Linked DNA regions of Rattus norvegicus. The main gene of each other region encodes a partner of the protein of the gene in region 2 in a complex. Links are inferred from orthologs where the notes say so. Each region holds a gene or a part of one and is shown on either strand. Other genes may lie near its edges.

What was found. Proteins that work in one complex are often made in the same cells at the same time.
Region 1: the proteins of Rab1b (region 2) and Tbc1d20 are in contact, whole or in part, in a crystal structure (PDB 4HLQ), measured with the Homo sapiens proteins. The link is inferred for Rattus norvegicus from reciprocal best matches to the Homo sapiens genes RAB1B and TBC1D20. Residues at the interface, in NP_112243.1 of Homo sapiens: Ser17, Gly18, Ser36, Tyr37, Ile38, Ser39, Thr40, Ile41, Gly42, Val43, Asp44, Phe45, Gln60, Trp62, Ala65, Gly66, Gln67, Arg69, Phe70, Thr72, Ile73, Tyr77, Glu94; in NP_653229.1 of Homo sapiens: Gln97, Gln98, Leu101, Asp102, Arg104, Arg105, Leu107, Arg108, His141, Tyr142, Tyr143, Gln144, Gly145, His147, Asp148, Phe177, Met178, Asp179, Pro180, Thr181, Met182, Lys186, Val212, Ile215, Leu218, Ser219, Thr223, His227, Met272, Ala273.

Annotation. Positions count from the first base shown.
Region 1 is NC_086021.1:161,235,348-161,238,847, forward strand, and holds part of Tbc1d20 (TBC1 domain family member 20), read left to right. Parts: intron 1-1,031; coding exon 1,032-1,217; intron 1,218-3,497; coding exon 3,498-3,500. UniProt on the Homo sapiens protein: GTPase-activating protein (GAP) specific for Rab1 and Rab2 small GTPase families for which it can accelerate the intrinsic GTP hydrolysis rate by more than five orders of magnitude. Also shows GAP activity for RAB18 GTPase.
Region 2 is NC_086019.1:211,840,423-211,844,482, forward strand, and holds the start of Rab1b (ras-related protein Rab-1B), read right to left. Parts: upstream 2,801-4,060; 5' UTR 2,730-2,800; coding exon 2,716-2,729; intron 1,089-2,715; coding exon 1,016-1,088; intron 774-1,015; coding exon 678-773; intron 578-677; coding exon 482-577; intron 228-481; coding exon of another isoform or gene 99-227; exon of another isoform or gene 1-98. UniProt on the Homo sapiens protein: The small GTPases Rab are key regulators of intracellular membrane trafficking, from the formation of transport vesicles to their fusion with membranes.

The sequences.
Region 1 (3,500 bases), on a different chromosome or scaffold from region 2:
ATTTTATGTGTATGAGTGTTGCATATGGTTTGTTAAATGTAGTGTTGAGGGTGCCTTGAATCAAACTCACACACAAGTGCTGTGCTGTGCTGTGCTGTGCTGTGCTGTGCTGTGCTGTGCTGTGCTGTGCTGTGCTGTGCTGTGCTGTGCTGTGCTGTGCTGTGCTGTGCTGTGCTGCTGGGACATTCACTGAGCCCAGTATTGAGTTTTGAATTACATTTTTTTCCAGTATAAACAATTAAGGGCTGGAGAGATGGCTCAGCGGTTAAGAGCACTGACTGCTCTTCCAGAGGTCCTGACTGAGTTCAATTTCCAGCAACCACATGGTGTCTCACAACCATCTGTGATGGGCATCTGATGCCCTCTCATGGTGTGTCTGAAGACAGCAACAGTGTACTTCTATACATGAAATAAATACATAAATCTTAAAAAAAAAAAAAAAGGAAGAAGGAAAAAAGAAAAAACAATTAAAATTTTTTTCTGGCCTGGTGGTGATGGCTCATGCCTTTAGGCCCAGCCCTTGGGAGGCAGAGGCAGGGGGATCTCTGTGAATTCAAGGCCAGCCTGGTCTACAAAGCAAGTTTCAGGATAGCCAGTGCTACATAGAGAAACCCTGTCTCAAAAACAAAAACAAAAATAAATAAATAAATAAAAAATAAATAAATAAAAAAAGGTTGTTTTTCTTGAGTTTAAGGGTTAACAAGACCTAGGCAAGGAAACCAGCCCAAGGAAACCACGTAGATTGAGATATCTATGCTTTGTGAACTTTGAACAGGAAAGCATTGACAGTAGCCGGTACTTACTGATAGTTCCTAAAACTATAATTCCCTGTTAGTTACATGGGGTGTGACCAAAGTGTCTTATACATCATGTGCTAAATATGTGTAGGTTCTGTAAGAAGCAATCATGAGGGCCACAGCTGAGAGAAGGCACCTCAGACCGAGTTAGGAGACGGGGACTCTAAGCAGAAACGTACACAGGAAGTGTGCTTCATTCTCTTCCACACACTGTTTGCTTGTTTGTTTCTCCAGACTTTAATGCCAAAAGGAAAAAGAAGGTGGCGGAGATACACCAAGCTCTGAACAGTGATCCCACCGATGTGGCTGCCCTCCGACGAATGGCTATCAGCGAGGGCGGGCTCCTGACTGATGAGATCAGGTGCCAAGTATGGCCTAAGCTCCTCAACGTCAACACCGATGAGCCACCGCCTATGTCAAGTAAGGGAGCAGAATCCTGAGGTGGGGAGCTTCAACTAGGGATCGAAATATTGTCTAGCTAGAGGAGGTTTTTTTTTTTTTTTTTTTTTTTCTTTTCTTTTTTTCGGAGCTGGGGACCGAACCCAGGGCCTTGCGCTTGCTAGGCAAGCGCTCTACCACTGAGCTAAATCCCCAACCCGAGGAGTTTATTTTTTAATTTTTTTTTTTTTTTTCGGAGCTGGGGACTGAACCCAGGGCCTTGTGCTTGCTAGGCAAACGCTCTACCACTGAGCTAAATCCCCAACCAGGAGTTTATTTTTTTTTAAAAAAAGTTCTCGGGGTTGGGGATTTAGCTCAGTGGTAGAGCGCTTGCCTAGGAAGCGCAAGGCCCTGGGTTCGATCCCCAGCTCCGAAAAAAAGAACCAAAAAAAAAAAAAAAGTTCTCTTACATGGCTGGGAAGATGGCTCAGAGGACCTGGGTTCGGGTTCCCAGCACATATAAGGTGACTTACAACCATACAACTCCAGTTCCAGGAGATCCACTGTCCCTTTCTAGCCTCCTGCATACAGCACTAGAGAGAGAAGTGGCAGAAGTGCTGAGGTTCCTTGGAGTTCAGAATCCTTTAATTCTGTCAGAAGCTGTTGATTAACAACGTTAAAGACACGGAGTGATGGGGGACCTGGGAGAGCAGAGAACAAGCTCCAGAGCACCAGCTCCATTGCCCGCCCTGCCGCCTCTGGCTTTCCTGCTAACATGGCAGTGGACTATGCGTTGTGTGTTCTGGGAGTTCTCAGTCATTTGTCAAATCTTGGTGCCCTTGGTGTGTGCCACATACTGGATGTGGTTAAAATGATCCATGTGCTGAAACGTTGATGATATAATACACAGTGGATGCTGGGTTGCTACATGTCAGCTCGTTATGGATATCTGAGACTGCTGCCTCAGAGCAGTGGGCTCTGTGTTAGGGGAGTCAGGTGAGAAGTCATTCTTCTCTCACGTTTCAAACTTGACACTAAGATGAAGAAAGTGTATGTGGGTGTGGGCTGAGGTGGGTATGTAAGTCTTGCACAGTTCCTCTGATAGCTCTCTGTGTGGGTTGTGAGGAAAATCAACTTACACAGTACTTGGCTTGGGATAAGGAACATATATGCTTGTATCTGTAAGCCATCTTCCAGCCCCATTGATAAGAGCATTTACTTAGCATGTACAAGGCTCAGTCCTAGCACCGCACAAAACTGATTTTGGTGGCACATGCCTGGGATGGTAGCATCAGGAGAATTTAGTGTTTAAAGCCACACCTTTAATTCCTGCACCTAGAAGTCAGAGGGAGAGGCAGATGGATTTCTGAGTTCAGAGATAGCCAGGGCTACATAGAGAAAGGAAGGAAGGGAGGGAGGAAGGGATGGATGGATGGATGGAAGGAAGGATGGATGGAAGGAAGGAAGGATGGATGGATGGAAGGAAGGAAGGAAGGAAGGAAGGAAGGAAGGAAGGAAGGAAGGAAGGAAAAAATGTAAGTGGGGAAAGGCTCAAGGTCAGGGCTGGAGAGATGGTTCAGTGGTTAATAGTGCTGGCTGCTCTTCCATGATCCAGGCTCTAGTCTCAGCACCAACCTGGTGGGTAACAAACCTCTGTGCCTCCACTTCTAGTTCCAGGGGATCTGACACCCTCATCTGCATATGCCATGTACAGATAGGAGCAAGCAAAACACCCATTCACCTGAGATAAAAAGAAACTCGTTTTTAGTTTTGTTCTGTTTTATGAGTTAGGGTTTTATTGTCCTGGAACTTGCTTTGTAGACCAGGCTGGCCTTGAATGTACAGAGATCTGACTGTCTCTGCCACTTCAGCACTGGGATTTTTTTTTTTTTAAGATTTATTTATTTATTATATATAAGTACAATGCCGCTGACTTCAGACACACCATGAGAAGGCATCAGATCCCATGACAGATGGCTGTGAGCCACCATGTGGTTGCTGGGAATTGAACTCAGGACCTCTGGAAGAGCAGTCAGTGCTCTCCCGCTGAGCCATCTCTCCAGCCCCCAGGTGTTATATTTTAAGTCATGTTTTGTTGAGGAAAAGGGTGCTCTGTGTATTCTTTAGCTCTAAACTAGCATTCCAAGATGTAGTTACTATTGCTTTTTGCTTGCTTTGTGATGTTAGGTCTAAACTCTGGGCATGGAGCTTACTAGGTTAGCTCTCTACAACTGAACATACTGGAAACCCAAGAAAGATTGACTCCTTATCTGGCTTCCCAGAGCTCTTTGTAATAACACCATGTTCCTCTTCCTCTGATAGGGA
Region 2 (4,060 bases):
ATTTGGGATAGGCTGGTAACAGAGCAAAACTCACATTTTATGAGGTAACTAACGAAGGAAATCTAAAGGCTACAGTGTTTATAAGATGTAAGACACTGTCAGGACAATTTTTGGCTGCTGCCAGTGACACATGACTGAAGCCACCACAGCAGATACAGGATTTCAGAATTTCTTCTTATACTGGGCTCCCTCTTGTGCTGTCTGAAGCCTTCCAATGCTTCCTGAATCTGCAGACAGGGAGCAATAGTAACCAACCAGTGGATAGAAACACGGGTAGTCTGGAAAGTCTAGACTAAGGCAGCAGGTGCCCTGTGGCCTAGTTCTATCAAGACTCCATGACAGGGTCTAGGTAGAATCCAGTTCTGTGGTCCTATTGCCCTTTTTATGAAGCAATTCAGATAGTGTCTCCCTTCCAGAAAGTTTAAGGAAAAGAAGCAAAAATCAAAACTCAAGGCTCAGGAGGTAAGGCTGCAAGGAGTACCTGGTCAGTGACGTCATACACCACAATGATGCCATGAGCACCCCGATAGTAGCTGGAAGTGATGGTCCTGAACCGTTCCTGACCAGCTGTGTCCCACTATGAGTCAGGAGGAAAAGGGTAGGTAGGTCAGCCACAGGAGAACTCCCACCCCAAGGAAAAGACTTCTGCCCGAGGGCTGGAGAAAAGCCATACTCACAATCTGTAGTTTGATGGTTTTGCCATCCAGTTCAATGGTTCGAATCTTGAAGTCCACCCCAATGGTGCTGATGTAGCTCTCTGTGTACGTGTCATCCTGAAAAGGTTGTGGCTAGTGAAACACTGGAGAGACTGGCTTCCTGCCCCTGTGGTGCTTCTCACTGCCAAGCCTCAGTTCTAATCACCCGACTCCCAGGGCCTGGGCCCTTGCTGTGGCAGCTCCAGCCACCACACTCTTAGTTCTCGGACTTGCAACTACTGTGTTCTGAGCTGCCCCCTCCTCTTCCCGGTGGTCAGCCAGGACCCCAAGTAGATAATACAGGGGTGCTTCTTACTCACAGCAAACCGCAGAAGCAGGCATGACTTGCCCACGCCCGAGTCACCAATCAAAAGCAGCTTAAACAGGTAGTCACTGGCAAGAGAAGACGGGAAGGTATGAAGGCGAGCAGGAAGTTCCCCCTCCTTCCTGTAGTAAGCATGACAGCACTACAAGGCATACTTCTGCTTGGTCTACTCTGGTGCTCACTAGATCCTTCTACTGTCCTGATTGACCCTTAGTATCCCCAATAAGCTAGCACACAAAAACCTTCAGCCTGTGTCAAAAAGAACACAATCTGCTAAGAAATACGCGGTGCTATTTGGCAGACACTATTTAAGAAACTCACGCTGGGCCTTACACTATGCCAGCTTAGGACCCAAAAACGAAAGCCTGACCCATGAAGTAAAAATAAACATGAAGGTGGGATGGGAGGTGGGGTGTATGTGTGGTGGGGGAAGGTGGTGCACATCTTTGATCCCAGCACTCAGAAGAGGCGGGGGCAGATTTTTGAGTCAGAGGCCAGCCTGGTCTACAGAGTGAGTTCCAGTACAGCCAAGGCTGCAAAGAAACCCTGTCTGAAAAATCCAAAACAAAACAAAAATGTGAAAGAGCCTGAGATGAAGTCACACAAGAGGCGGTCAACAAGTGGCCATGGAAGCAGTGGTAAATACTAAATTGTAACTGGATGTACTTGAAATACATGCTCACAACAGTGCAAAGAAGTGTGTTACTACTTCCAACTACGGAGGAAACCAGAGGTCACAGAAGGGAAGTGACTTGTCCTAAGCAGTTGATAACTGTGAGACTGGAAACCAGGCCTGTCAGACTCCAAGCTCTTTGACAGCTGGTAGCCTCCCTTCTCTGTTCCCCTCCTAAGCCCACTAGTGAGTTCAACCCTTCCTCAAGGAAATCTGAGGCCTAGAGTTGGGGAAGAAAAAGGAAGTGGAGAAGGGGAAGAAGATAACGTGGGTGCAAAACTGTATGTAGGGTTTGAGTTTGAGGAATAAAAATTCCGCTCTAAGGGAGCAAGCAAATTCACATTCACCTAATGTGCTTTGGCAGTGTGACAGCAGAGGGAAGCTATGTGACAGTGGCACTGGAGGCCTGAGCAAAGGTGAGAGGACAGAAAAGGACGGACTGCCGGGAGCAACATGACAGCGCGACCCAGGCAGGGCAAATGGTAGCCTCAGAGGAAAGGATCTGTAGGGAATGTGAATCAAGCAGGGACTCGGGGGTCCCCTCTTGTCTGGTCAGATTCTGGGCCGGCCCCGGGACAGAGGCTCCAGAAGAAAGGCAAAGAAAGGTTCACAGCCCAGTTGAAAGTATTCGACTCTGGAGATCAGAAACTATTGTGATGGGCTCCAAACAGCCTGCCCTTGGTCAAGCTGTGGGTGGGAAAAAAATTGAAGCTCAGGAAGACCAAATCTGCAGGGTCACCTAACCGAAAAGGCCTGTGAGGGCTGGCGCAGCGGGCTCCGAGTGCTGCCCATCCAGGTTGCAGCCTCAGGGACCCGGGCTGCAGAACTCGGGGTGTTGAGCCAGGGTCCTGGGGATCCCGGGGGGAGGGCAGGACCCGGATGTAAGGGGGGGGTCAGCGGAAGAGGGACCCGGATGTGGGGGCGCCGCGCAGTTCTGACCAAGGCCAGACAACTTCGGCAAGCATATAGCCCCATAGACAGGATCGAGGCTGCGCCGCACGGCGCGGGCGGGGCTCACTCACTATTCGGGGTTCATGGCGGCAGCGGTGGCCCGCTCGGTCGCTCCCAGTCGGCTCTGCTCCGCCTCCCGTTCCAAGATGGTGGCCGCTCCGCCCTAGAGGCCCCGCCCGCGCTGCGCAGCCGCAAATACTTCCGACTCGGGTTGCGCCGCGCTGCCTTGCGGAACCTGTAGTTTCCATGGATATTCGACTTGCCACTGCTGCGCAGGCGCAACCCAGGGAACCCGAGCAGCGGTGCACCCCAGTAGCCTCCGGCGAACGGCCTTCTGGGGTCTGTAGTCTTCCCAATCCCTGAACCAACTTAGCTACAAAAATCTTCGTTGTGCTACCCAATCCGCAGGTGCAGGCTCTTATTTAACACCGGGGTAGGTACGGTTCGCCTCTAAGATGGGCTGCCACCTTTACCCTCTAGATTCGCAGATTGAAACTAGAAGGTGGGAGGTATTTAGGGCCAGAAGATTTTGACTTATTCAGCGTTTTTCATGGGATGGGCACTCCGCAGCCCTAGCACTAGGATTATGTGATCACTAGTATTACATATATGAAAAATCCTCAGGAAACTCAGTTCAAGAAGACATCACAGACGGAATTGTCTAGAACCCCATTAGGGCATGTTAGACGCAACCCCAAATCTGTAGCATCTCCCCAAACAGTTCAGGATAATAGCAGAGTATTAGTTCCAGCCTCGAGGGCAGGGAAGATATGTGTGTATCCCTCACTCCCGAAGTCTCTCCTGATTCCACCCGACTCTAGGGATGCTCAGGGGCTCTGAATTCCTCAAAACAAGCCCGGTTCAGGTTCAAATCGTCTTTATTTCTACAGCAACATCTGAAAATAGAGAGCGACTGCCTTACCCAACAAATGGGGTAGTCCCTCCTGTGTGTGGGGGGAAGGGGGACATCAGAAGCTGAGGCTAGGGAGGCGTGGCAGGATGGCTCAACGGGCTGTGCCCAGGGTGGGGTCAGGCCATGCCTGGGCGGGGCTAGGTTGAAAGAACAGTGCATTAAGTCCAGGAGGCAGCACAGGGCCCCGTGGTGTGGGGGATCCGGGCATTTGCAAGGTGGAGTGGAAATCCCTCCAAGACCAGGCGAAGAGGTCTAGGAACCCCTTTTGGGAGGCTCTGGTCCCAGAACTTGGAGCTTGGAAGATACCACCACTGGGAACAGGGTGATTTAAGGCCTGGGCGGTACCACTGGATAAGAGAGAGGCAGGTGGTGGCCCGGGAATACCGTGGACTGAGGGGAGGAGGGTTGAATGACACGGCCAATAACTTATTTCTCTATATACAGAAGCAACGGCCGGGAGTGGAGGGGAAAGGTGCTGAGGGGACAGCAAGTACTTAGTGTTC